Elephas maximus indicus: one gene and its partners. The protein of the gene in region 4 interacts with the protein of the main gene of each other region in a biochemical or structural test. Links are inferred from orthologs where the notes say so. Each region holds a gene or a part of one and is shown on either strand. Other genes may lie near its edges. The genes, in order: RNF5, IRF3, TRIM31 and MAVS.

Region 1 (6,448 bases), on a different chromosome or scaffold from region 4:
GTTTATGTGGCAACCTTACCCCTTGTACACCCAAGAGCCTTGGAGGGGCTCACCCCCATGCTGTCCCACACCACCTCAAACATCTACTCAAGCTGGGAGAAGCTGCTCCTGTCCTGAAAAGTGGAGGGAAGGAAGACGTTGGGATAGATCCCACATATACTTTTCACCTTTTTTTTTATTGAATTTGTAATAAAGAGGTTGTGAGTGGGAGGTAGCACTTAGAGTCAGAACCCACATTAGACACTGGGGAGAGAAAAATTAAATTAAATCAACAAGTGGGGAATGAGAGAGAGTCAGAGGGAAACTTGCCCACCTTTCAACATCAAATCTAGAAATCTAGAGGAAAACAAAGGGTTAGGAGAAGAAAAACCGACACTCTCTTCAGTCTGTCCTCCTCCCTCAGGGCCGGGAGTTAAGACGAGCGAGCAGTTCAGAGCAGAAGGCTCTCCCATCCTGTGTCCAGATATCACTTCTCCCCATGCCCTCCTCGAGAGTGGCTGGTTGGGCCTTAGCAAACAGAAGTGGAAGGGTTGGGGAAGGGAGGTCCAGGAGTAAGGAGGGTCACGAGGGACCCCCAATACTGATTCTTCTCTGGCTGGAGGTGGGCAGGAAGGAGACACAGCTCAAATACTTAGCAGCCAGATAAAGAAAAAGATGGCAAGAAACAGGAAGAGGGAATCCTGCCAGCTGGAGGCCGAGTGGCCCTGTCCTAGATCCACACCTGTGGGAGAGAGAAGAGCTGCAGAGGACGCACCCACTCCAGGGCAGGGAGAGGACTTGAGGGGATTCCGAGGGCTCCCCAGTAGGAGCTGAGCGATGGCTCTTACCTGCACCTCGACGGAAAGGCTCATGGGTATTGAAGACGGTGGTGAAAAAGCCAAAGGGAAAAGCACCAACACCAAATGAGAAGTGAAAGCCCCCAATATCACCAAATGGCTGGAATCCCTAGGAAGGTGAAGAAAGTCAGAGGGGAACCAGGCAAGTCTTGGGCAAGGAACAAACACAGTAGGACAAGAAGACTCACCCCTCTGCTTTCTGGAGCGGGTCGCTGGCCCTGGGGGCGGGGTGGAGTCTTCAATCTGAGGAAGAGGAAAAGGAGTATCGACAGGAATATTCTCCTCTTTCACACACCCTTCCCAGGCAAAAAGCCTCTGACTTTCCCCTCAATACCACCTCCTCTCTCACCTGGGATCCTGGGGCTTCTGGCTCCCTCGCCCATAAAGTGGGACAACCTTCTCTCTGCTGATTCCAGCTTTACACACTGGGCACTCTTGCCGATCAGGTCGTGTCTCCAGCCACTGGGGAGAAAAAAATGAATTGGTTTCCAGTACAGTCTTCAAGCTCCTCAGGCCTCCCCATCTCCCTCTTCATCTCCTCTGAGTACACACCTGATGAAGACAGGGCCAACTGGATGGGGGGAAGAAAAAAAAAAAGGTCAAGCTAACTATAGAAAAGAGACACAGACCCAGACTTCATAGATACCCATCTCACTCCTCTTCCAGGTATCTGTGCTGTTGCTTTACATCTTTTCGGCAGCCTCTACAACAGCCAACCTGGCCTTCCTGCTTCTCTGGTCTTCCAATGCTTAAAGCTCCAACCATCTTCAACACACTCAATCCTCTTTTCCCCAACACACACCCACATACATTATCAACCCGTCTGCTTGTAGACTTAATTTCCAGTTAATCTTCAACCCAGCCCTATCACTTCCAAGCCTAACCCCTTTTACTAACATATATCCTCCTTACTCCTTTCCACTCACTTTCAGGTCCAATAAAGTATTTCTAGGACCCTTTAATCTCTCAAGGCTGCCCTTCCACAGTGCCCTTATCCCCAGATTTGTCATACCAACCTCTCCCAGATCTCACCTGAATGTGATCCTACAGTTCCCTGCGCCTCCCACAGTCAGCTAACGCATGCCTCCCCTAACCTTTGGATATCATCTGTCTCCACCTGTACGGCTAAGACCACCGTAAGCACTTACTATGTCCCTCCCGTCCCACACCCTCTTAACATAACCCCACGCCTCAGCTTCTAATTTCCATGACCTCTGCTTTCCACGGGTCTGTCTTTACAAACGAGACCCTCCCACCGACACATACCTGAAGAGACATAAGTCCCCTCCGCGTGCCTCACCTATGGGGATGTGCCCTCTAATTATCTGTATGATTTATGGTCCCCCGCCGCCAGCCTCCTCAGTACAGACGTGAGCCCCTCCTCCCGCCCCCCCTTCCCAGTTCTCACCAGTATAGGTGGCCACACACACTGACCACAGCTTCCCGAGCAGTCTCCAAACATATATTACATTCGAAGGTCGCGCCCCCCCCGCCCCGCTCACGATTTGGCCCTTCGGGGCCCCCGTCCTCCTCCTCCGCTGCTGCCATTGCCGATTCTATTTCACCCCCGGGTACCCCTCAGTACACACAAACACACAAACACACACTCCGACAAACGAGAAACCGCCTCCCGCCCACGATAGTTGGGGCGGCATTGAGGGTTTTTAACCAGTATTGGTCTGAGTGTCTGCCAATCACGTAGGGTTCAAAGGCAATAATTGGTATAAACGGTATGTGCCGAAAGAGGCTTGCGTGGTCCTGCCTTTGCACAGTGACTATTGGTTGGTATGGTGGGAGTCAGCCTGCAGAGCCATGGGATTGGTAACAACTTGATAAGCCAGTCCCTCAGCCAGGGAGAGTTTTATTCGTCTGAGTAGCTGCCTGTCATAACCAAAGGCCAAAAGCAATTGGCTTGGGACTTTCTTTCCTTCACTTCCTCTTTCCGACAAAGTCTGGGTTCCTATTGGACTTTCGAATTTGTGACTCAAAAGCAATTGATTGGTTAGAACTTAGCCAGAAAATGGAGACTAAGTAAAATGCGCATGTTTAGCACGTGATGGGCCGGGCCGGGCCAATCCTGAGAGGGTTGAGCCTTCTCTGGTCCCACCCCTTCACCTCTATCTTGTCTCCATGGTGACTGCTCCACAATTGGCTGCGCTTGAGTTGAACCTCGGTACGGCTTCATCCGGGTCCTCCGGCTATGGACACACTCTCTTTCTCTCTCTCTCTCTCGCTCTCTCTCTCGGCTGATTGGGCCGATTCCTTCGCTCCTGATTGGCCGAGATCTGGAAAGACGGCGAAGACCTCGGAAAAGAGGGCAGATACTGGGGTTGCAGGGTTCAAAATGGCTGCGGCCTCCTACGTAGAGAGCAGAATTTGGGTCCGCTCCTCCCTTTTAGTGAAGAAGGGAGCAGAACTGGGTTTGGATGGTGGGAGCATCGATCTGCGGTGTTGGTGTTAACCAGTCTCCCTCGGCTGGGCGGTTCAGCTTGCCCCTCTTTAGGTGATTTACAGACCAGTGCTGAGCTAAAGGCCATCCCCTTTTTAATGTGACACACAGGATACAATAGAGTTGACTTCGACTCCATTTTAAACCTAAAAGCAGAAAACGTCTGGCTCCACTCCTTTGTGAGTGGGCGTAGATGGCAAGGCCCGCCCCTTTTAGGTGACCCGCGGCGGAATGGGGTTAGGCCCGCCCTTCCTTAAGTCCCGTAGAACTGGGGTCTTCCTCCTGGCCTGGAGCCCTAGTATTTGGGCAAGCTGCTTCAGAGCTTAGGTCTTTCCTAAGAGTTTGGGGCTTTCCTACAGTCAGTGACCGTAACTCTGGCCCAAGGAGGAGAACTAGGTAACAGTCCTCCCACTGCCAATGTTCTTTACATCTGCATCCCCAGTGCGTGTAAACTCATTCAAGGAAAAGGTGTGTCTGGGGGCGGGAGGCAGACACTGGCTGAAGGGAAACACTGGCTGAAAGCTGTTCAGCAACACCCTGATAAAAGGTCCCACGTGAATCGAGTGGGGTGAGGTGAGAAGTTGGGAAATGCCTAGCAGACGGTAGGTGAGGGTTCTGGAGGCCTGAGGTCGTATAGGAAAAAGGAATTAAGAGGGAGAGGTGGAGACTAGGAAGGAGGAGTGATGGAATGATCCTGGTAAAGGGATACCGGGAGCCCTGGGGTATGGGGAAGAGGGGAGCAGGGTTGGAGAGGGAGCTAGATAAGGAGGCTTGCTCACCCCAGAGCAATCAGCATTCTTACCCACTTTTTTTTTTTCTTTCAAGGAACACATTGGAAGAAAAGATGCAATCACATTCTATGTTGTGGTGGGCAGGGTTGGCTCAGCTTGAGTAATGAGGCTGGTAGGAAGGAAGGAACTAGTAAAGAAAAATCACTTCATAAAACAGCGTGGAAGGGAAAGGGGAGAGAAGAGGGCTAGAGAATATTCCTTAGCTTTAAGTCCAGAGAGGGTGGGGGAGGGAACTGGTCTGCTGGGAGATAATGGGGGGAGGGGCAAAAAGACCAGACCACACCATAGGGCCGGAGGCTGAGGTGAGGGGAGATGGAACCCTGGAGACAAAAGAGGTAAAGAACTCAACGCCTGGCATGTTTGAAACGGAATCGAGGACAGGAAAGGGGGTCTTAGAGATGAGGTGGAGCTGGAGAGAATAAGCAACAGATATGGGAGTTAAGGAGAAAGGGAGAAACCAGAAAGAGACCAACCAAGTAAAAGTGGCAAGTGGAGAGCTGATGGAGAATGAGGAGAAGGAATGAGCTGAGGAAGGAACACAGCGCCAAGAGATCCAGAGCTGTGCGTGCTGAAAGGAGGACGGAGAAAAAAAGACAAGCACCTGGACCCAGAGAGGGGCAGGGGCTGAGCCCAGCTGAGCTCTTGTGGGGAGGAGCTAGCAAGGGGAGGCTGGAGGATGAGAGGAGGGCCCCTGGGAATGATTGGCGAAACAGCTCGCCCATCACCTCCCCTACTTCCTGGCCAGCCCCGGAAGCCAGCGGGCGTTCGGGAGGGGTGGGGGGGAATAGCAGCAGCAGCAGCCCCAGCCCTTAGAGAGAGACAGCAGGGAGGGAGCTTGGGGTACAACACCCCATCATTCGTACCGCTATGGGCCCAGCCTCCCACTACCACCTCCCCTCCATCGGCCGGGGCTAGGACACCCCCCAATCCCGTCGCCCCCTTGGCACCGACACCCCGACAGAGGCAGAGACACAGCCAGCCGCCACCACCGCTGCCGCAGCCTGGCTGGGGAGGGGGCCAGCCCTCCAGGCCCCCCACCCCACTGAGGTGGGGGCGGGAAAGGGACGGGAGGAGGAGGGAGGAGGGTGCTGAAAGGGATGTGGATGAGGGGATGGGGAGAGATTGGGTCTGGGAGGGCCGACTGGGGAGAGGAGAGGGGGCCTGACAGGGAGGAAGGGTGGAACAGACAGGGGAGGGAGGAGAGATGAAGACCATGTCAATTGAGGACTGGGGGTGTCGGCAGGAAATTCTGAAAAGGGCATTCCCTACACCTTCCCCAAAACCTCTTCCTGGTTTTTGGCCCCACATGACTCTTGAAGGGGGAGGGGGAGGGAAGAAGGCAGTTATTGCCATCCTTCCCCCCAGCAGAATTTGCTTCCTAGGAATGTCCTCAGACACCTCTCTCTTTTCCCTCCAGGCACAGGCCTTCTTGTTTCACAGTGGCCTTCAACACTGTGCTAACGTTTACTGACACAGATGCCTTGTGTGGGCTGTGTTTTCTGCATTGAGCCTGTGTGCCTTTGACATGCTTAATGGCTTGCATGTGCCTCAGTTGTCCATGCGCTGTGGAGAAGTGATGTGTTATTTTCCCTCAGCAATTATTCATTCTCATATTTTGGGTCCCATGTCTCCCATCCAGTTTTGACATGTCGAAGTACCTACCCCTTGTATGTGTGTTTTCATATATCGCACCTTCTGTACGGTTTCATGGTACTGGCATGTTTTTGTTTTTGCATGTCTACTTTAGCGCATAAAGGTTATACCTTATTTTGTCTTGACTCACATGTCCATGGTCCATGCCAGAATCTTCATGCGTGGAATCCCATGGTTTAGCTGACTAGTGCACACTCAGGTTGATTGGATTGGCCTGTTTGCTGTGCATGTTTTCACACCATGCACGTGCGTGTTTCTCCTCAGGACACACTTACGTAGAATGAGATAGTGTGTGTGCTTCTGGTTACAGATACTATTTATTTAATAGTTTTATTGGCAGTATATTTTGTGAGCCGTTTGTTTCTTAACCCATTTGGCACTCCCGTGTGTTTCTCAATCCTTGGACATCTCTCCTGAGAGGATCAGTGACTCAATATCACATATTAAGTGGAAAGTATTAGGAGAAAGGTAACTGGGTCTCCAGTCCCCGAAGAACCATCCCATATTTCTTACTTGGCTGACCTCCCTGGCCTGTGTCTCTTTATTCACATTATCTCGACAGTGGCTGTGTACTGTCTGTGTCCATGGGACTCATTGGTGCTGCTGCGACCCCCACATCGTCTGCATTTGTGAATATCGTCAGTCACCCCACTCTTGCACTGTTGGCATACATTCGATGGCAGCAGCATGTTCTTTTCCACTGTGACATGCAGGCCCCT
Region 2 (7,724 bases), on a different chromosome or scaffold from region 4:
TTTCAACAGCTGTTCCCAGAGCAGGCCCTGTGCTCAGCAACATAGGGACTGAGCCTGGCCCTCAAAGCGCTCCCAGTCTGATCGTGGAGACAGCCATGGGCACAGACAGCAAGACATATATATGCCAGGCACTACAATGGCCTTGGCCGTGGTGGCACAAATGGGTAAGTGCTTGGCTGCGAACAGAAAGGTTGGTTAAGCCACCTAGCAGCTCTGTGGGAGAAAGACCTGTTGATCTGCTCTGGTACAGATTACAGCCCAGGAAACCCTAGGGGGGCAGTTCTGCTCTGTCATCCAGAGTTGCTGTGAGTTGGAGTCAACTCGATGGCACGCAACAATGATGGCCTTGGGGGAGGAGGAGCTAATTCCAACCCATGGATCTAGCAAGACCTGGGCATGGGAGAATGAATAGAATCTCAGAAGGGACCTTCCCTGGCACAGGCATCAGCAAGATCCTGGGTGAGGGGGGGGGGTTTGGGTTCCCAAGAGCTGGTGGGCACCCTGCCAAGCGAGAAAGCTTTGAAACCCTGGTAAGGTGTGTTAGGGCCTTGAGGCCTAGGGAAAACTCTGACTTTTCTCCTGAGACACTGAAGAGCCATGGGAGGGGTGTGAGCAGGGAAGGGGAAGGTTGGCCATGGGTCATGTGGGGGACAAGAGTGGAGGGGAGATAATGCGGCCGGAGGGAGGAGAGGCTGTACCACGCAGGAAAAGGGAGGCCAAAACAGGCTGATGGGGACAGAGAGGAGGGGGTGGGGCAAAAGGGTGGGGGCACATTTTTACCTGAGTATCAGAGGTACTGCCTCTGTTATTGGTGTCCGGAGAGGTGTCCAACTCAGGAAAGTCCCTAACTCCTATCAAAAAAGGTAGTGAGCTGAGAAAGGGTGATGGGACCCCACCAGATCCCAGCCTTCCATACGAAGGCACTCCTTGCACACCTGGAGTTACAAACTCATAGATCTTGTGCGGGTCGAGGGGGTCCTTGCTCCGGTCCTCGGCTACACGCAACACCTCCTTCCGGTTCAGGGCGGACCGAAAATTCCTCTTCCAGGTAGGGGGGTCTGGTTTATCTTTCTCTGGATTGTAGGCTCCGCTGACCTCGGCCCAGGCCTGGGGGGTCGGATAGGGGAGCCAGGGGAGGGGAGAAGATTTCGATCCTGCCCCAGAGGACATAACACTTAACTGTCTCCCCAGCATGTGCTACCTCAACAAGGCTCTACTACCAAACTCTCGGATTCTTCGTGCCCCAAAATCTGCTCCTAGCATTCAAAAACTTTTGCTTTCTAACCCATCCTTCTAGGTTCTACTGGGTGTTTAAATCCACCCACCACCTGCCCCAGGGCACCCTCTGTAATAACCCCCCTCCCCGCACTCTAACTCTACCTATACACCACCAGTGTACCCTAACTTGATGGTAATTAAACCAGCTTTGGGACTCTGAGCCTCGTCTCCAAAGTTCCAAGACCTGCCCCCAGAATTCTGCAACCAAGAGCCTGCCCCCAGCCTCCAGGAGGCTTTTCCTCAGCGTTCTAATCCCGCCTTTCTGGTTCTATTCGCAGAACCTGGGAGTTCCAACCCTCCCCATTACCTGCCATCAGTTCGGACCGCCCGGGCCCTCCATCGATATAACTCCGCCCTCCTCGACCCCCAGGTTTCTAACTTTTTGCAGGCCTCGCCCTCGCATGCTAAACCCGCTTTCATCTTTGTATTTCTTAAATGAGAACACTGATTCTTACTTAGCCCACTACTTGCTGTCAGGCCACCTGTCCTGCTAAGCCTGCCCCCTCCCGCTCTAACTCCGCCCACCTCCACCCACAAGCACGCACTCGGGCCAGCTCCACGCGTGCTAACCCCGCCCCGGGCCCGCCCCCTCGGACTCCTTTCCGCGAGGCAAGCCGCTCAGAAAGGCACCTGGAAGATGCGGAAGTCTTCCTGCTGCGTATCCTGCCGCAGGCGGTGCTTCCAAGGGATGCGGAAGCGCGTGCGGTTCGCGTCCACCCAGGCCACGCCCTCCAGCTGCCCCCTGTCCAGCAGCGAAATGAGCCAGGGCAGAATCCGCGGCTTTTGGGTCGCCATGCTCCGGCCTGTGGACAGAGGGGCAGGCAGTTCCTGGGCGCGGGAGGTCTCTCCGGCTCATCCGCGCCTCCCCCTCCAAGGCCACGGCGCAAGCCCCTCACCCGCAGGTTCCGGGGGTGCAAAACTACCTTCTCTGTACCACAGACCTCCTCCTCCCATCCCCCCAGAGCAGCTCCCCACTTGAGTAAGGACCCCCTCCCTTTCCAGCTTCTTCAGTGCAGACCATCTACCCCCTAAATTCCGCCAGTGCAGGCCCTTCTCTCTTCCACTGCAAACTCCTCCCTCCCCCACTTCCAGGGTAGAGCCCTCCCTTCCTCGTTATTTTAGTGCAGATGCTACTCCTGTGTAGACCCCTACCTCCCGCAGTTACCCCAGTGGAGGTCCCTCTCTACAGTTCAGCCAGAGAAGAACCCACGTCCCCATTTCAGTGTAGGCCTCCATCCACAGTTCTCCCCAACCGAAAGGCTCCCTCCTTCAAAGCACACCCCCACTTTCTAAAGAGTACTCCCTCCCAGATGCAGAGTACACACTTCTCCCCCCTCCCCGCCCAGGTCTCCCAGTGTAGACTCCTCCCTTCCTCCTGGCGGTATAGACTTCTGCCGACCTCCAACGCCGGCCAGTGTAGCCCTCTCCTCGCCTCATTCTCTCTAGAATATACAGCCACCCTCGTCACTATCAGTGCAGGCCAAACTTTTCTCCCTTTCCTCACTTCTAGACGGCACCAACTCTCTCTCCAGCTCTTCCGCTTTACCTATTTCGAGGGTTGGAGCGCGCAGGATGCTGGGGCCACCACTGTCTTCGAGGATTCGGGTACCTCTCGAACTCGAAACTGTGCACCCCCCTTTCCCGCCAGCTGAATTCTAGGGCGGTGGCGTTTTCCTTTCTATCGATGTCTCGAAATAAAACAACTTTATCATTGTTTGGGTGCCAACTCCAGGGCAAAAGGAGCGGTTCCGTCAGCCTAGAGCCCTGCCCCCCATGCCTTTTTAAGGCTTTCTGGGCACAAGCATGCTGGGAGCTCCATATGCAAATATGTGGGCGGACAATGCCCCGCCCCTTTACGTCTCGGCACGCAGCAACCCAGCCCAGTGCGCAGGCGCGGGGAAGTTAACTTTTGCAGAAAAGTTTGTACAAGTTCAGTAGAGGAGGTGACGGAGGCGGGGCCCAGGGCCAGGTGAGTGAGGTGTTAGCGTGGGCTGGGCAAGCAGAGAAGAGGAGAGACCGGGAGCCAGAGCGGGCACCCCAGCCTCTTTTCTCCGAAACCCAAGCGTCCCACGGATCCCCAAGAGTCCAGACTGAGCCACATAGTGGAACTACAGCTCCCGGCAGGCTGAGCGGCGAACAAGAGCAAACCGAGGGGGATGTGTGCCACAAAAACTCATGGGATTGGTAGTCCTTGATCCTCTAAGGATTTAGTAGCTTGGCATATGCCTTCTTCAGATTGTGGGCCCCCAGGCCCGTCTTCCCTCAGACCCAGGAGCTAGGGCTTCTAGCCCCCTCCTCCCTCAGACCCAGGAGTCCTGGCCTCCAGCCACCTCCTCTCTCAGACCCGGGAGTCTGGTCCCCAGTGCCCTCCTCGCCCTGGATCCCCTCTCCCTCAGGGAACTCAGGAGCCTGGGCCCCCAGAACCCAGGCCCTTAGTCCCTTCCTCCCTTGGGGACTCATAAGTCCAAGCCCCTGGCCCCCTCCTCATTCAGAGACAAAGAGTTTGGGCTCCAAGCTTTCTCTTTCCTCTGGACCCTGGAGTCCAGCCCCCAGCCTCCTCTCTTGCAGGTGTCTCCATGGCAGGCTCGGAGGAGTTGGGGCTTCGGGAGGACACACTGAGGGTCCTAGCGGCATTCCTTAGGCGGGGTGAGGCTGCCGGGTCCCCTGTTACAACCCCACCCAGGTAAGAGGGGTTGCCCTTCTCCCCCAGGGACCAGCATTTGGGGTTAGGTCCTTTCTGACTTGCTCTTGGTCTCAGTCTGTCTCCTTTCCTCCCTTCTACTGGCTTTGTTCCCTGTCCCTGGGGTTGCAGGGAGGGAGTCCTCAATGGGAGGAAGAAGAGAGTGCTTGCAGGGGGCCTCTGGAGTCACTCTCTGTGGTCCTTCTCCCCAGGAGTCCCACCCAGGAGCAGTCAACAGACTTCCTAAGCCGCCTTCGTCGATGCCTTCCCTGCTCCCCGGGTCAAGGAGCAGTTCCCCCCGAGTCCCCTCGGCCTTGTTCCCTGCCCCTCCGCCCTTGCTATGGTTCAGAACCTGGTAAGAGATTTCCCAGATCACCCATAAAACCAGCAGGGCCAGGTGCCTTGATTGCTGAAGCACAGACAGGATAAGAAACTAGTTGAACACCACTCAGCTAGAGGGTAGCTGTGTGAGGTCTCCAGCACCAATTCTCTCTATTCTGTTCCCCTCCCACCCTCCATAAAATTAGATTTCTGTCAATCTCCTGGGCTGACTGTGGGAGGGCGGGTGGTCCCTTTCTATCTAGTTATATATCAAGTTGATATTTAGTTGTTATCTCTCTCCTTCCATACATGCTTCTCTGCCCCCAGGACTTTTGTGGCCATAAGTACTCCCAGTAGAGAGGCAGGAGGGCTGTTTTTCAATTGCTGTTCCCTGGCTATTTGGGTGCATGGCTCTGGGAAAATCCTTTCCCTTTCTTGTATCTCTGTTTCTCCAATAGCAAAGTAGGAATGGGAGGTGTCACTGGACTTGATCAAGAATGACAAACAGGTTTCCTCTCATAGGTGAAGCTAGATAAACTAGTAATGGCCGCTAGGCATGCTAGCTTGACAAGGATTTTACAGCTGGGGAAAAGAGTGCTGTGGTCAGTTGGTGATGCCTGAAACGGACAAGGGCTAGGGTGATAGCTGGAATGCCATGTGTTTGCTTTCCTTAGATGGAATCATCTTCAAGATCCAGTTCAGCCCTAACATTCTAAGTCCAGAGTTTGGGGGTACAAGAGTTTGGGGGTCTTTTACTACCCAGTTTGTTCATTGGGCCTCAGTTTCCTAAAAATGGAAATGTTGCTACCTGGCAAGATGATTTGGAGAAGGAGAGAATCCCTAAGTCCCTGATACCCTGGAGACCTCTCACTCCAGACTTTCACCCTAGGCCCAGCTACTCTGGACTTCTACACCCTGGTGGCTCAGCGGCTTGAAGAGCTGGTCCAAGAGCAACTGAGATCACCACCTAGCCCAGGTGAGGTGCCGAGAGACCCTGGAGAAGGATGGGGCTAGGAGTGCAGTGGTGGGCCAGTGGTAGGATTTTCCTCTTCCATGTGGGAGACCTGAGTTCGATTCCTGGCCCATGCACCTCATATGCAGCCACCACTTACCTGTCAGTGGGGGCTTGTATGTTGTGGTGATGCTGATCAAGTTTCATAGAGCTCCCAGACTAAGATGGACTAGGAATAAAGGCCTGGCAATCTACTTCAAAAAATCAGCTAGTGAAAACCCTATGGATCATATCAGTCTGTGTCGTGCATGGCGTCACCGTAAGTCTCAGAGCTGACTCCATGGCAGCTAACAACAGGAGGGTAGCCAGGGTTCTGCTCCCAGCAGAATTCTCTTCTGCCCCCAGAGTTACAGGGCCCTCCACCCACTGAGAAAGAAGCCCTGCTGCGGAGGCTGGTGGTCTTGCTGGAGGAGGAGGCAGAAGTTATCAACCAGAAGGTGATGAGTGGGCTGTTCCATTCCTCAAGGAAGATAGGAATAGGGGGTATCTGGGCACTGGGATCAGAAACTGGATCTTCATTCGCATTGGCTGTATGGTGGGCCGAGGGTGGGGACAATTTAAGTTAGTGGCTCTCATTGGTAGAGGGGCATGGCCTAACTCCAGGGGTGAGACCATAAGAGACAGGATCTAGGAGAGAAATTGGAGGGAAGCTCTAAAATCTAAGGCCACAGTACGGCTTAGAAAGTGAGGGAAATGGAGCATTGGTGGGGTCGTAGCTTGTTTTCGTGTCCTGGAATCTGATTGGTTCGGAGGTCTGGGCAAAGCGCCTGGCACTGTACTATTGTGTCTTAAAGAGGGCGAGGTTGTACTAGAACCTAGCCTGGCCTCCAGGGCTCGGATTGGCCAGGAAATCCCCAGGGGGCGAGGCTAGAAAATTAGGGTCTGGAGAGCCCCTAAAGAAGGGCTTGGCCCTGATTGGCTGTTGAATGCCTCAGTAGGGGCGTGGCTTACCATCTCAGGGTCTGGACCACTTCCTTGTGAGTAGTTGGAGTGAGCTATAGGGGCTGCTTTGTGATTGGCTGATGGAAGGGGTGGGCGTGGCTTAAAATGTTAGCATCAAGGCTGCCCTAGGACCAGAAGGCCACTCCTCCAGCCTCCTATTGGCTGGGCACGGGCAAAGGGACGTGACTGGGGCAGCTCTACCTCTTACCTTCCCTGCCCCACAGCTGGCCTCAGACCCAGCCCTGCGCCGCAAGCTGGCCCGTCTCTCCACGGGCTCTTTCTCACGCCTTGCTGAGCTGTTCTCTAGCCGCGAGACCAGTCCTCGACCCAGCCGCACACACCCCTCGTTACCGTGCCCTGGGCCCCCACCGCCTTCCCCGGAGCCCCTGGCCCGCCTGGCCCTGGCCATGGAGCTGACCCGGCGCGTGGCCCGGCTAGGGGGCACCCTGGCCGGACTCAGCGTAGAGCACGTGCACAGCTTCTCACCCTGGATCCAGGCCCACGGAGGATGGGTGAGCCGCTGAAGTCTCCTGGGCCTCCCTTTACCCATTTGTAATGTGGGGAGGGAGTTGGCTTCTTAGGCATCCTTTCAGATCTGACAGAGTTTTCCCAGCTATACCATTCATTCATTCATTCTGTATTTATTGAGCACCAACTGTGTACCTGATGGGGCAGTGATCAGACACTACCCAGGGCTTAAACCACACCGCTATACACTAACCGGTTGTGAGCCCCGAAAACAAGTGATTGCATCTCCCTGGGTCTCAGTTTCCACATCCATCAAGTGGGAAAGTGGTAGTACCTATCTCAAAGGGTTGTCCTAAGGATTAAAATAGGATCATTCTCCTAAGTACTGGGCGCCTGGCCTGCCGTGGGCGTTTGTGTATGGGACTAATCCGATTACAGTCTGTCTCCCCAGTGGTGCCTGAATCCCCTTCCCCGTGAGCCTTAGGGCTCTCTAGAGAAACAGAACAGTGAGATGTACAGGTAGTCCCTGACTTACGAAGGGTTCCATTCTGTGACTTCATCGTAAATCGGTTCTGAGGAAAACTGAATATCTCATTTTTTGTTTTTCATTTTTTATTTTAGTTTTCACTGCTATCACTTTTCTACTCTGTCCTATGCGGGGGGTTGCTATGAGTCGGAATTGACTGGACAGCAACGGGTCGTTGTTTATTATCAGTATCTTTATAAATCTCATCTTTGTCTTTGGGTTTGGAAACATTACGTATAAAATTACAGAAATAATACAGACATACGTTAAAAAAATACACAAATCGTAAAAAAAAAATCATAAGTGTGTGTGGTTCATCATAACTCTAATAAGTCGTAAGTCAGGGAATATATATATATTGGCTCAGTGGTTAAGCACTCGGCTGCTAACCGAAAGGTCGATGGTTCGACTCCACCAGCTGCTTTGTAGAAGAAAGATGTGGCAGTTTGCTTCTGTAAAGATTACAGCCTTGGAAACCCTGTGGGGCACTCCTTCTC
Region 3 (7,309 bases), on a different chromosome or scaffold from region 4:
AGGACTGGAATGGCTTTGCATGGTCTTTCTTGAAAGAAAGAAATGGCTTCTTGCACTGATGGGAGTAGGAGGTGAATTCAGGAGGGATCTCCGCTTATTTTGAGCATCAACTAGACACATGCTGTCCGATATGGCAGCCAGGCCACATGTGGCTACTGAGCACTTGAAATGTAGCTAGTACTATGAGGAACTGAGTTTTTTAACTTATTGAATTTTGACAAATTTAAATTTAAAAACTGAAGGAGTGTAAAATACTTTTTCCATCAAACACAACTTTATTGATTTGGTAGGACTACGTTTTACTTCAGCCATTGAAAATTTAGCAGTTGAATTGAGATGGTGCTGAGGTGTAAAATGTGTGCCAGATTTCAAAACTCAGTATAAAAAATGTAAAATATCTCATCAATACTTTTAAGTATTGTTGTTGATTTAAATCATAATACTTCGGATATAGTGGGTTATATGAAATATATTATTAAAATTAATTTCACCTGTTTCTTTTTATCTCTTTCAATGTGGCTACTAGAAAAAAAAAGTTCAATTACATATGTGGCTTGCAATATATTTCTAAATTACATATGTGACTAGCATTGTATTTGTATTGGACAGTGCTGTGCCAGAGGTAAAATGATTGGGATGATCTCAGTATTACTAATTGAAAGATTGGTGGTTCAAACCCAATCAGAGATGCCTAGGATCTGCTTCCAAAAGGTCACAGCCTTCAAAACCCTGTGGACCACAGTTCTACTCTACACATATGGGGTTGCCATGAGTCAGAATCAACTCGACAGCAACTAACAAAAACAACAAGCAGTATTCTGCCAGGTGGTCACGCTCTGACCTGTGACTAGGGATGGGCTGGTCCCTCTCTGCAGCTTCTCCCCCAAGGGATTCTCACCGAGAGCATCTCACGGGGTGACATTTGCTGCTTGGCCTTCAGGAAATCAACAAGCCTATTGAGAGAGTTCAGCTGTGCCTCAGTGGAAGTGCCAAAGAAGTGACCCCCGTTCTCTCCCTCCTGAGCCAGCCAGTCCAGTCGTAACAGGAGAAACTTCTCCTCTTCCTCTAGAACCTGACGCAGGTGCTTGAATTCTCTGATGATCCTTTGTTTTTCATGCTCCACCTGGGCCTGGGGGCGAGGAGAATGGACACTCAGAAGACAGGATGGCCTCAGAGGCTCTCACCCATCTCATCCAATTTGCAATTTTATTGTTTACACTTACGTTGTCAATGTAGAACAATGTTCCATGGCAGATTTGGAAAAAGAAAGTTGAGGAGAACTAACTTATTTTAGCATTTACTATGAGCTCAGTTTTAGGGTAACTTATTTAATGTTTAATCATTTTTGCCTTCAAGGGCCTGAGTCTTTAAAATTATCTTGCATTTTCAATTTATAATCTCCTTTCACACACACACTCACCCACCCACACACACACACACACACACAAAACAGGTAAAGAGGTTGGGTGGAGTTACACTGTCTTCATTTTTTAACTGGGGAGTCAGTCTCTAGGTAAAGACAGTAGGTAAGAGGCAGAAGTAGGTATTTAAATTGGTATTTCTGATGCTAACACCAGCCCGTTTTCCCTACATCACTATCTCCAGGTGGAGGAGACTGGAGTGTTTGACCTACTCTAATAACGCAAGGCCAGGTGCAAAGGTGCTATCGCAGACAAGCAAATGTTGTGGTAGAGGAGAAGGCATGAACACATCCTAAACCATGATGCCTCAAGTCTTTCTGTACCTCCAGCCTGCCCATCCTACACTCTGCCCCACTCTGAGCCACTCTGTTTGTCACTGGGTCTTTTTCTGGGTGGTGAGTGTAATAAGAGATTCTAGGGGCTTGAAAGAGAAGATGTATCTGCTTCCAAGGACCGTTGGACAGAGAGACCCACACCTGAGCATTTTCTTACCTTGAAGACATCGATCTTCCGTTCGCCTTGTGCTTTCACCTCTACTATCATCTTCTCCTTTTGCTGCAAGTCCTTGAGTTGTAATTGAATTAGTCCCTGTGGGGAAAGGACAATTTTCCTAAGCTGTGCCTGGGAGCTCTCTTGGCCTCACAAAACCTCCTGATCTCTCGGGAAGGTGGGTGAGACTGGGGGGAGCTGGGAGCTGGTTATGATAGGGAGGAAGAAATCTGGGGCCTCAGTGACCTACAGGAGAAGAATGTGTCATCTGTGAATAATTACAATTAATATCTGAATGGTGCCTTGGGGTTAATAAAGGATTTCCCTCATTTGTTCTATCAGACTGCCTTATAAAGGTAAATTCTGTTCTGTTGGCCCCATTTGAAAGCTGAGACAGGCTCAGAGAAGTAAAGTGACTCCTTGAATGTCTTATGGAAAACTCAGGAGCTTGGACTTGAGCCCGAACCTTCTGATTCAAAATTTTTTGCCTTTTCCATTTTTCATTATGGTTTGACTTCAAAACACTTCAGACTTTTGAACTAAATGGTATGCCAGAGATGATGAGATCCCTAGAGTGCCCACCCTGCCTGACTCTGAACTGCCCACTCAAGTGTATGGGGCGGGGGTGGTAGTAGTGCAAACCCAGAGGAAAGAAGTAACCATTCCCATGTCCTCACCGAGCTCCTGGTCTGATGGGCGAGACAGGAAAGGGACCCAAAATGCTTACCTGATACTTTGGGGCAGCTTCTTCTATCAAGTTGGCTTTGTGGGATTTGTGGTCCTGGGAGTCACGACACACTGTACAGAGAAACTTCCCATCATGCTCACAGAAGTAATGGATCTTCTCTTGGTGCTTCTGACATCTTGGTTCTTCCCTTTCTGGTTGTGCCTCAAGGGGACTCATAGCTTGGATTTTCTCTACCAGATTCATCAACAGCCAGTTGGGCCTCAGCGTGTCCTTCCTCACAGATTTCTTGCAAAGGGGACATTTGAGTAAACCGTCTGATGGATCCTGTGTCCAACTGATACAGCTGAGGCAGAAACTGTGCCCGCAGTCGATGGTGACAGCGTCCTGCAGAATATCTATGCAGATGGGGCAGATCACTTCCTCCTGCAGGTTACTGACAAACTGTGGACTGGCCATGATGAAGCAGGAGGGCTTCTTCTGGTCTGTACGAAGTCGTACCAGGTCTGCAGGAAGGTTTCTCTGAGCTGCGGGGAGATGGGTTGTGGACACTGGTTTGAGCAAGGGAGAAGGAAGGAGAGGAGAAGGGAGGGGGGGGAAAGGGGGATAAAAGAGTAAACGAATAAAAAAAGAGTAAGAATTAGAATGTAGAGAATATTTTAAAGAGAGAGAACAGATGGGCCAATCTACCTTACTACTTCTTGAGATCAAATGGATATATACTGCTTATCAGGTTGGGCAATTTGTTCTGAACCTTGAACTAATTAAAGATACAAGGCAGTTAACTGATTCCTAAAAGACCATGGTACCGAAGTCCACAGGACAGAAGACTTCCTGTCAGTTTCAGCAGGGCGTGGAGAGGCTGGGTGAGGCCTTTGGAGGTCACACATGTTGGGACCGTTCAGCTGGTTCACTAGCCATGGCTTTGGACATCTCTTGTCTGCAGAGCCCAGATGTTGGGAGAGCACATGGAAAGGAAAAACCAGTTGCTGGAGAGTGGATTCTGGCTCGTGGTAACCCAACATGTGTCAGAGTAGAACTGTGCCCCCTCAGGGTTTCCAGTGGCTGATTTTCAGAAGTAGATCACAGGCCTTTCTTCTGAGGCATCTCTGGGTGGACTCAAGCCGCCAACCTTTCAGTTAGCAGATAAATGTGTTCACCATTTGCACCACCTAGGGACTCCATATGGAGAGGAGGGAAGGATTCTTTACCTCAGTCAGGTACTTTGGCTGCTCACTTTGAAGAGTTTTCTGAAACTAGGGAAGATAGCCACCTCAGGGAATTTCTAGTCACAAGGAAAAAGCCACCATCCCTCTCATGGGGAGATTCCTGGTCCAGTGGGAAAACAAGAAATTTATTGCAAGTCCATTCTCTTGATTTGTACATTGTTCTTGACCCTAATGGATCCTTACTTCCGTGTAGCACCTGAACCAGTCTGTCCTTTGTTGTCGTTTCCTGTATGTCATAAATATGCTGGTGTCTCCATGCCCATTCTTTGTTTTCACTAGAAAAGGACATTATCTTTGGGAAAGTGGAGGGTCGGTGAAAATGAGGGAAACCCTGAATGAGATGGATTGACACAATAGCCACAACGATGGACTCAAACCTATCAACTGTCATGGGGATGGCATAGGACCCAGCAACATTTCGTTCTGTTATACTTAAGGTCATCATGAGTCAGAGCTAACTCCATAGCAACAACAATAACAATGTTTAATGTATCTGTATTTCTTCCTGATTCTTGTTGCTTCTCTGATCCCTGAATTGCCTTGGCCTATGCCTTCTGTCCTGACTAGGAAATTTATTAACTAGCATCATCTGTACTCCCTTCTGTAACTCAACACAATTGTGTCCTAACCTTTCCTCCTTCCCACTTGTCTTCATCTGGATTCCGACTTCTAACCAACCTCTGTTCTCTCCAGCATCTGCCCTCTGTCCTTACCAGGAAGTAACCATTAATTTCATTGGATATCAATATTAGGTCAAACAGAGATTGCAGATGATTATAAGATTATAGCCAGATACATTCTGATTTGTCTGGGACAGCCCCTGGTTTCATTGTCCTGGAGTAATTATTAATACCTTCTCCGTTCATTCTCAAAATGTTCAGTTCACACAATAAATTATATCGTTGTCCTAATTATAGCAATTGCTGAAAGTCAAAGAATTTCTGAAAGTCTATTCCTCCAGGCTTTTCTGTTTGTTTGCTTTGAGGATGAATTAAAGCATCTTAACATTTGTATAATGATTTACTGTTTATACACATCCTAAACTGCTGGCCCCTGGAAGCAGAATTTAACTTTTGGACAGGTTTTGTTTGTCAGGCATGGTGACTGAAAAAATAACCATAATTCTGATGCCTTTAGAGAGGAGATCTATTTTCCCCACCACCCCCTAGCTCCTTAGATCATGTCAGTTAGGCCCATGGGAGTATTGGACCTTATGATCCTGCTTTACATATTTCTTCTGCATGTATTCTGAGTGTGTTACATCGCAAACGTAATTCTCACCGCTAAGTCCAATGTATCAGTAATCATCAGCAATATAAATATATTAAGATAGCCTTTAAAAGACAGAGATTATGAGATTATAGCTCATATATATACATATATAGCAAAACCCATTGCCGACGAGTCATTCCAACTTGTAGGGACATTATAGGGCAGAGTACAACTGCCCTGTAGGGTTTCCAAGAAGAAGCTGGTGAATTTTAACTGCCAAGCTTTTGGTGCCACCAGGGCCCCGCATATGTATGTAAAAAAAAAAAAAAGGTTTTTTTTTTTTTTTTAAATTATGTCACTGTAATTCAAAGGTGTCCATTCTTCTATCTTCCTTATTCATTGTCCAGCTTTCCCATGCATATGAGGTGATAGAAAATACCATGACTTGGATCAGGCACACCTTAGTCCTCAAAGTGTCATCTTTGCTTTATAAAACTTTAAAGAGGTCTTTTGCAGCATATGTATCTTTTTAAAATTTAGCTGTATGCTGATTATAAGAAACAAAGTTAAAATGAAATGAAGTCTAGAAATAAAGGGATGATAAAAGACGTAGGAAAATATTAACTCACATCTGCCCAACAACAGGAATGTCAGACAAAATAAAATTTAAGATAAAAAGCATGAAATAAAGAGGGGCAGTGAGTTTATGTTCATGGGGGAGGAACAACTCAGAAAATGAGGGTGAGAATGGCTGCACAATTCAGAGAATGTAATCAACGCCACTGAATTGTACATGTAGAAATTGTTGAATCAGCCTATGTTCTTCTGTATAGATTCTCAACAAAAACAACAAAAGTAAAATAATTCATTAAACAAATAAAGACGAACACTCCATGTTGTCAAAAAGGAAAAATCTTCAAGAAGACATGACGATCATGAACTTCGTGGACCTCCCTAAAAACATAGCCTCAAATGACATAAAGCAAAAACCAAGACAAGTACAAGTGAAATGGACAAATCCACAATATGGAGAGATTTTTATCACCTCTTTTAGAAATTGAAAGATGACACAGAGACAGAATTTTTAAAGATATAGAAAATTTGAGCAACATAACTTGATCAGATATTTTTACATAGGATTTTATACTCAACAAAGAGATAACGTGTTGTTTTCCAGTGTGCATGGATCACTCAAAGAACTGATTACCCTCTAGGACATAAAGAAGTCTCGACAAAAAGTATTTCTATGATGCAGATCATATTCTCTATAATTTAAATAAAAATGAGCAAAAACACAAAAAAGATAATTCGAACAAAAACTCACTCATATGTTTGCAAACTAAAACATAAGCTCTTAATACATGGCTTAAAGTGGAAATTATGATGGAAATTACGAAATATTCAGTAGTGAGTGACAAAGGCAATCCTCTGTATCACAATTTGTGGGATTAATTAAGGTGGTACTGGGAGGGACATTTATAAGTTAACGTGAAATTTCTAAAAAAAATAAAATGCTAAATATAAATGAATTAAGAGTTTAAAATAAAGAACTGGAAAAAGGTAACTCAAAGGAAGTAAAAAACCAAAACCAAACCCCGTGCCGTTAAGTTGATTCCGACTCATAGCAACCCTATAGGACAGAGTAGAACTGCCCCATAGAGTTTCCAAGGAGTGCCTGGCAGACTGGAACTGCAGACCCTTTGGTTAGCAGCCATAGCACTTAACCACTATGCCACCAGGGTTTCCAAAGGAAGTAAAAGGAAAGAAATTAAAAGCAGTTATTTTTTTATTATTAACAAAATTTATTTTATTTTATTTTTTTATTGTGCTTTAAGTGAAAGTTTACAAATCAAGCCAGTCTCCCATACAAAAATTTATATACACCTTGCTATGTACTCCTACTTGCTCTCCCTCAATGAGATAGCGCACTCCTCTTGTTAAAAAAATTAAAAAAAAAAAGATCGATAAAACCAAAACTTTGTTCTTTGAAAATATGAATACTAATTACTAATTTTTTAATACTAATAATATGGACATTAACTTTAGCAAGACTTGTCAAGAAAAAAGACACAAATGAAGCATATTTAGATTAAAAATGGCAAAATAGCTATTCACAGTGTTTGCAAAAAGTTACAAGAAGACACAATAAACAACTTCATACCAATTAATTTGAAAATATATATAAAAGAAAAATGTCAAAAGATGGGGAAAGATCAAACATAAAAGAAGACCTAAACAAATTTTTAAAATATGCCATGTCAATGGAGAGGAAA
Region 4 (7,266 bases):
ATCATCCCCAGGTCTACATCTGCCTGAGCCCCTACCTGCTATGCCTGTGAGTGTACTGGCTCTCTTCCCAGCACCAAGGCCCTCAGGCTAATAGCAAGAGCTCCACCCAGAAGTGCTGCTTCTTTGGGGTATTATTAAGGGGAAAAAAAAAAAAAAGAGGCTCAAGATAATAATAATTAGATCATACTAGAGATTAAGAAAATGAGGTACCAAGAATCTAGAGGACTTTCTAGATAGTGGAAGAGCAAAGAGCTGAGGTCTTTAGGCTCCAGGATCAGGTTCTTCCCAGGACGTAACTGCAAGCCCATCATTAAAGCTTGCTACACACATGTTCTTATGGTAGGAGACCACTTTCACTGTTTTAAACTCACTGTGTGTCCTGGGGGCAAATTACCAGGCTTTTCCTCACCCCAAAAATGACTCTGGGAGGTTGTTTTATCAATATAGTAGTAGTTCAGCCTATAAGCTTAAAATTTTAAAAGTACCTCAAATACAAACAATAGCTGCTGTTTCCTTTACGTAGCACTTACCACAATTTGTTATTGTAGATGTGTGTGTTTACTGGTTTCTTACCTGCCTCCCCCATCAGGGAGTGCTACAGGAAATAAGAGACAAGACCTCTGCTATCACCCAATTTCTATTCTATTGGGGTGGAACAGATAGTAGATCAGTAACACATATGTAAATAAGAATTCCAGGTAGGAATAAGAACTGTAAGCAAAATAAAGCAGGGTAATGAGCTAGAGCCCCTGGAGAAAAGGGTGCTACTTGAACCGACTGGTCAAGCCTCTCTGAAGAGGTGACATCTGAGCTGAGCCCTTCTCAGCTGTGGGAAGATTGGTATTCCAGAAACAGGGCGCAGTGACTGCAAATGCCCAAAGATGGGAACAGCTTGGCATGTCTGATGACTAGAAAGCAGGCCAGTGGGGCCGAAGTTTAATAAGCAGGGGCAAGGGGCAGAGATGGAGGTCCGGGAGGTTGGCAGGGACCACTCATGTAGGGTGCTGCAGGAAAGAGTTTTGGGTTTTATTCAGAGTGAAACCGGGAGCCATTGGAGAGTTCTGAGCAGGGAAGGGAGAGGATCTGATTTATATTAAGAGCTCTCTGGCTGTGAATGAGGACTGTAGGGCAGCCAGGATGGAAGCAGAGAGACATGGCAGGAGCCACAGTAGGGGAGAGATGATGAGTATGGCCAGGGTGGTAACCATGGAGTTGGCAAGGGGTAGTTGGATTCCTGCCATTTTCTGGATGTAGGATGTGGGAGAAAGAGAAGAATCAAGGAGGATACCCTGGGGGCTGAGTGGGCAGATGGTGGTGTTTACAGGATAGATAGGGTGGGGGTGGGGTGGGGGTGGGGGGGCAGTAGCACGGAGTTTTGAACAAGTGAAGCTTGAGATGCTAAAGGAGGCACAAGCGAGAAGGCCAGGCTGGAGTAGAAACAAGTGCCAATAGAACTAGTAGATACCAGGCTTGGGCGAGACCTCTAGCCTTACAGAGAATACCTAAAAGCTGCTGAGGCGGCAAGCCCTAGGCACACGAGAAAAGGGGCAGTAGTCCTGGCTACAATCTATGTGCACTTTGCTTTGCCAACCACCAGGTGCTTCAATCCTGGTGGAATGTATGAGCACTAAGGACAGAAGGTCGGGAGGATGAGGGAGGTGGAGATGGTGGGGGATCCTCTGAGCCTTCGGAAGATGAGCAAAGAACAACTCTGTGGTGCATAATAGACCCTTCTTCTCTCCCCATGGCACTCAGGCCTCAGCCCTTAAGGAACTGAGCCTTTAAAGCGGACCTAGGATGGAATCGATGTGGTCCAAAAAGACAGAAAGCCCACTTTTGTTCACATTTATTGAGGCAAGCACTTTCTAAGGTTCTTTCATTTGAACCCATGTCTTGCTGCCTCATTGCAGCTCACTGTTCAGCCTGTTGGTAAAGGACCCGTTGCAGCAAGTGAGACCCACAACTTCCTGCCTTCAAGCCCGGGGAGGGACCAATGAGGTAAGGGGTGGGAGGAGAGGGGTTAAGGGGAGTCACCAGGTGGGAGACGCGCATGGAAGGATGCCCCCTTCTACTCTGTCCTATTGGGTCGCTATGAATCCACTCGATGACATCGGGTTTGGTTTTTTGGTTTTTAGTGAGAAATGTAAATCTTTCAGACAGGCTGGGTGCCTTCTAATCCTGACCTCCACGGCGTGGTTCCCCACTCGCTGACTGTCCTTCCGAATGTTTATAAGGCTTTCACAGCATCCATACAGAGAACGCAGTTTTTCTTTTGTTTTTCCAATGTTTTTCTGGCACCTTCTTCCAATCTCAGTGACCCAGGGGGCAGCGGCAGCGTGTTCCTGGCGCCGCGATGAGTTTCCGATCTCAGTGCGCCAGAGGCTCCGAGCGCGTTCCGGAAAAAAATACTCAGTGGACAGGGAAGGGTGAGGCCTCACAGCCTCGGCTCGGATTCCTGGACCAGACCCAAGTCCGGGGAGGGCGGCGAGGCTGTTCTTCCAGCAGGTGTCACCGCCGAGAACTGCCGAGACCCAAGGTAAGACGGCAGCTCTCGACCCCCAAGCGCCGCCGCCGCCGCTACAGGTCGCCGCGCCCGAGCCTGGACTCACCTGGGGTCACCCTGGGCCTAAGGCGGCAGGAGGAGCTGGGCGGCCGGTGCCCGTCTCCTTCCCGCCCAACCTCCCCTCCAGCCGTAGCGGACGCCCCCCCCAATTGTCCCTCCGGCTCTCCGCGAACCCCGTGTGTCGCAGGACCCCTTTCTCTCGACCCCGCGGGCCCTGTGCCCCTGCTCGCCCGTGCCCAGTGCACCCCGGCGGACTCCCACTCGGTTCCTGCGGCCGCGGCCCTCCTCCGCGAAGGCGCCCGTACGCTCTGGGCCACGAGAACCAGGCGCCTTGGAAGGCGGTCTTACCTCGGGCAGCCACGACCCGGTGACCTGCGGACCGCCGGGACAACTAGAACCCTGTAGTCAGGAAGGAAGGGCGCAGGGGCGGGGACAGAGCGGCTGGCCATTGCCCCGACAGCGCGGGGCGGGGACTTGGCTCGGAAAGAAGGAAACGTCGGGCTCCCGGGTCGCACGACCGACCTAGTCCAGCATGGGGCGGGGCGTGGGGGGGATTGTTTTCTTCCCTTGCTCATCTCGAGAAACTTCGAGGGGAAATCCGGGCTCCAGGCCCGCCATCGGCCTCGGATTCTTTGCTGTTAAGTCATCGCGCTTTCTATGTGAAGCCCCAGTTTCTCCCCTTCTGTGCTCTGAGAGGTGAGAGTTTTATTTGGTTCTTTCCTGGGTCCCCAGGGCCTGGCACACAGTTGGTGCTCGATAAATGTCGGAGGACAATCAAAGGTCACAAAGGCGCACATGCCCAGCGAGGCAGCACGCTGGGTGTGGGGATGGTCGGCCTGGTAGGTGGTCCCAAATCACCTGTCTGTAGCTTTTAAAAAATGAGACAAAGGAGGGCACAGCTCCTCTGTGATATTTTTGCCACGGTGATAACCTGAAGCTAATCATGAGGGAACATCAAACCCAAAATGAGGGACATTTTACAGCTGTGCCACCCAATATAGTGGCCACTAGCTACATCTAGCAATTTTAGTGAAAATTAAATAAAATTTAAAATTCAGTTTCTCAGCCATATTCCAAATGCTATTTTCACGTGGCTGATGGCTGTCTTATTGGACAGCACATTTCTATCATCTCAGGAAGTGGCAGTTAAAAAAAGGTTCTATTCGAGGGCACTAATGTAGGGAATAACTTTAAAATGTCAAGGTCATGAAAGACAAGGACAGACTGAGGAAATGTTACTGATGAAAGAAGTCTAAAAAGACACTACAGCTAAATGCAATGTGGGACCCTGTGTTGGATCCTGACACAGAGTAAGAACATCAGTGGGACACCTGAGAAATCCAAATAAGGCTTTTGGGTTGATTAATAATATTGTATCAGTGTTAATTTCCTGGTTTTGATTGGTGTACTGTGGTTATGTAAGATGGACATATTTGTATTATTTTTGCAACTGTTTTGCGAGTTTGAAATTATTTCAAAATAAAAAAGCATCTTTTGACCCTATCTGGACATTTTTATTATTTTATCCTTTATTGTTTCTTGCATTTTACTCTATTTCATGAGCAGAATTCATTGACCATTGGCCATGTATTCACAGAAGAACCAGTCCAGAACATGATCTATGCCCTAGGCCACCTCCCTGTGAAGGCCTCAGACACTCCCACCCCTAGAGCTCCCCCACAGCAGTGGCTAGTGTTCCAAAGAGGGCTGTGGCCCACACGTGATGACTCAGCAACCACCAGCTCACCTTTCCCCCTTGACAGAGGTCAGGCCCAAAGATAATGCCAGAGGGCCCCAAAAAAAGTACATGTTGTCATGTCTGAATCCCTTCAGAGAGCCCTCCCAAGACTGAAAAACAAAAGATAATCCTGACCTTTACAACCTCATTTCAAATACTTTTTAACTGTTATTCTTTAAACTTTATTTTTTCACACTGTCAATGTATTTACAAAAGAAAAAATATATATATATATGCTTGTACAGCTAATGTGGGAAAAACAGAAATAATGAAGAAAAACAAAATCCATACTCATAATGCCACCACCCAGGGGTAACTCCTGGTGACACCTGGTGTCTTTTCTTCTATTACTTCCTTTTCTGCAATGCAGGGTCTCCAAGTCCTCTGGCTTCCGGGGGTAACCCTTTCCATGACTTCTATCAGATCAAGTCATGATCTAGGCCATAACAGGATCTGGGATGAGGCTTCCTCACTTCTCAGGGGTCTCAGAAGAAGGAAAGCGTTCTGCCCAGGTCAGTTCCTGGGTCAGTCCCCACTGCAGCCAGCTCCCCGAGGCCTGTCAATGTGGCCTCCTCATCAGACCTCGAGGCATTTTGTTGCTCCCCATATACCACTCAGGGGCTGCCACCCAGCCCTTCCTTCTTGAAATCACTGACACAGGCTGTTTGGCATTAGACATTAATTGAGGACTCGGGGTGGAATACAGGGAAATGAGAACATGGGCAGGACACAAAGTTAGATGTCTATGATCCGAAAATTCACTGGCTTCTCCCAATGCAGAGGACTTCTCCCTGGCTACATCCTCCCATGGTCCAGTTTCCCACCCCATCGCTGGTGCTCTGCTTGCTCTCAGCCCCTCTTGTAGTCTCTTGCCCTGTGTCCCCACCCCAGAATTAGGAGTTCAGTTTTTTGCCGCCTTATTTACATTCAGTAAAATACATAAATCTTAAGCGTATGTTGTTGTTAGGTGCCATCTTAGTTACCCAGTGCTGCTATAACAGAAATACCAAAGTGGATGGCTTTAACAAAGAGAAATTTATTTTTTCACAGTCTGGGTTAGCAGCCGTAGCACTTAACCACCAGGGTTTCCGTCTAGTAGACTAGAAGTCCAAATTCAGGGCATCGGCTCTAGGGGAAGGCTTTCTCTCTCTGTTGGCTCTGGAGGAAGGTCCTTCTCATCAGCCTTCCCCTGGCCTAGGAGCTTTCTCCACACAGGAACCCGGGGTCCAAAGGACGTGCTCTGCTCCCGGCACTGCTTCCTTGGTGGTATGAGGTTCTCCTGCCTCTCTGTTTATTTCTCTCTTTTATAGCTCACAAGAGATTGGTTCAAGATACAATCCAATCTCGTAGATTGAGTCCTGTCTCATTAGCATAACTGCCACCTATCCGACCTCATTAATATCATAGAGGTCGGATTTACGACACATAGGAAAATCACATCAGATAACAAAATGGTGGACAATCACACAATACTGAGAATCATGGCCTAGCCAAACTGGTATACATATTTTGGGGGGACACAATTCACTCCATGACAGGTGCTGTTGGTTGGTTCTGACTCTAAGCGACCCCATGTGCAACAGAACAAAACACTGCCAGGTCCTGCATCATCCTCAGAATTGTTGCTATGTTTGAGTCCATTGTTGCAGCCACTGTGTCAATCCATATCACTGAGGGTTTTCTTTTTTGCTGACCTACTTTACCAAGCATGATGTCCTTCCCCAGGGACTGATCCCTCCTGATAACATGTCTAAAATGTGTGAGATGAAGTCTCACCATCCTTGCTTTTAAGGAGCATTCTGGCTGTACTTCTTCTGGCAGTCCATGATATACTCAATATTCTTCACCAACACCATAATTCAAAGGCATCAATTCTTCTTTGGTCTTCCTTCTTCCTTGTCCAGCTTTCGCATGCATATGAAGCAATCGAAAATATCATGGCTTGAGTCAGGCACACTTTAGTCCTCAAAGTGACATCTTTGCTTTTCAACACTTTAAAGAGGTCTTTTGCAGCAGATTTGTCTAATGCATTATGTCTATTGGTTTCTCGACTGCTGCTTCCATGGGTGTTGATTGTGGATCCAAGTAAAATGAAATCCTTGACTACTTCAATCTTTTCTCCATTTTTCATGATGTTGCTTATTAATCCCGTTGTGAGGATTTTTGTTTTCTATATGTTGAGGTATAATCCACACTGAAGGCTATAGTCTTTGATCTTCATCAGTAAGTGCTTCAAGTCCTCTGCACTTTCAGCAAGCAAGGTTGTGTCATCTGCATATAGCAGGTTAACAAGTCTTTCTCCAATCCTGATGCTGCATTCTTCATACTGTCCAGCTTCTTGGATTATTTACTCAGCATAGGGATTGAATAAGTATGATGAAAGGATACAACTCTGACACACACCTTTCCTGATTTTAAACCACAGCATATCACCTTGTTCTGTTCCTGCATCTACGTAAATACCTGTCTAACCAGCACCCAGATCAAGATATAGAATATTTCCATCTCCCCAGAAAGCCTTCCTGTTTCTTCCCACCCCCCCGCCCCCCGCCCCCCACCAGATAAGTGTTATTCTGGCTCTGTCACCATAGTTTGGTTTGTCTGTTATTGAACTTACCATATTTTTAGCAAATAACAGGCCCACACATATAACACACATAGCACACATAGGAGAATAATGCATGAGGGAGTTGCGTGGTTGGCAAAAACATATAATGCATGCGTTATTTGTATAAAATGTGATAATCATAAATATGATTCCCATACAGTACATATTGGCTTTTTTAGGTATCATTTTTTAATTGTGGTAAAATATACAGTACATGTTGTTTGGTGTTTGGAGTCTTTCACTCAACATGTTTTTGGCATTCATCTAGTGTGTATCAGGAATTTGTTTCTTTCACTGCTTAGAAGTATTCTGTATGAATATACCACCATTTGTTTATCCATTCTATTGTTAATGGAA

The links.
Region 1: the proteins of MAVS (region 4) and RNF5 form a complex in vitro, tested with the Homo sapiens proteins (2 studies listed by BioGRID, with this or other methods). The link is inferred for Elephas maximus indicus from reciprocal best matches to the Homo sapiens genes MAVS and RNF5.
Region 2: the proteins of MAVS (region 4) and IRF3 form a complex in vitro, tested with the Homo sapiens proteins (2 studies listed by BioGRID). The link is inferred for Elephas maximus indicus from reciprocal best matches to the Homo sapiens genes MAVS and IRF3.
Region 3: of the proteins of MAVS (region 4) and TRIM31, one has a biochemical effect on the other in vitro, tested with the Homo sapiens proteins (2 studies listed by BioGRID). The link is inferred for Elephas maximus indicus from reciprocal best matches to the Homo sapiens genes MAVS and TRIM31.

Annotation. Positions count from the first base shown.
Region 1 is NC_064819.1:93,665,935-93,672,382, reverse strand, and holds RNF5 (E3 ubiquitin-protein ligase RNF5), read right to left. Parts: upstream 2,549-6,448; 5' UTR 2,385-2,548; coding exon 2,245-2,384; intron 1,408-2,244; coding exon 1,389-1,407; intron 1,299-1,388; coding exon 1,186-1,298; intron 1,080-1,185; coding exon 1,025-1,079; intron 946-1,024; coding exon 828-945; intron 723-827; exon of another isoform or gene 722-722; coding exon 624-721; 3' UTR 609-623; downstream 1-608. UniProt on the Homo sapiens protein: Membrane-bound E3 ubiquitin-protein ligase that mediates ubiquitination of target proteins. May function together with E2 ubiquitin-conjugating enzymes UBE2D1/UBCH5A and UBE2D2/UBC4.
Region 2 is NC_064829.1:100,112,794-100,120,517, forward strand, and holds the start of IRF3 (interferon regulatory factor 3), read right to left. Parts: upstream 3,077-7,724; 5' UTR 2,825-3,076; intron 2,082-2,824; 5' UTR 2,074-2,081; coding exon 1,909-2,073; intron 1,108-1,908; coding exon 936-1,107; intron 852-935; coding exon 781-851; intron 1-780. Other genes in the region: BCL2L12 (bcl-2-like protein 12), read left to right, coding at 3,435-3,462, 3,847-3,961, 4,171-4,313, 5,169-5,255, 5,637-5,728, 6,458-6,745.
Region 3 is NC_064819.1:89,764,133-89,771,441, forward strand, and holds the start of TRIM31 (E3 ubiquitin-protein ligase TRIM31), read right to left. Parts: upstream 3,055-7,309; coding exon 2,638-3,054; intron 2,010-2,637; coding exon 1,914-2,009; intron 1,130-1,913; coding exon 899-1,129; intron 1-898.
Region 4 is NC_064843.1:42,464,661-42,471,926, reverse strand, and holds the start of MAVS (mitochondrial antiviral-signaling protein), read right to left. Parts: upstream 3,002-7,266; 5' UTR 2,912-3,001; intron 1-2,911.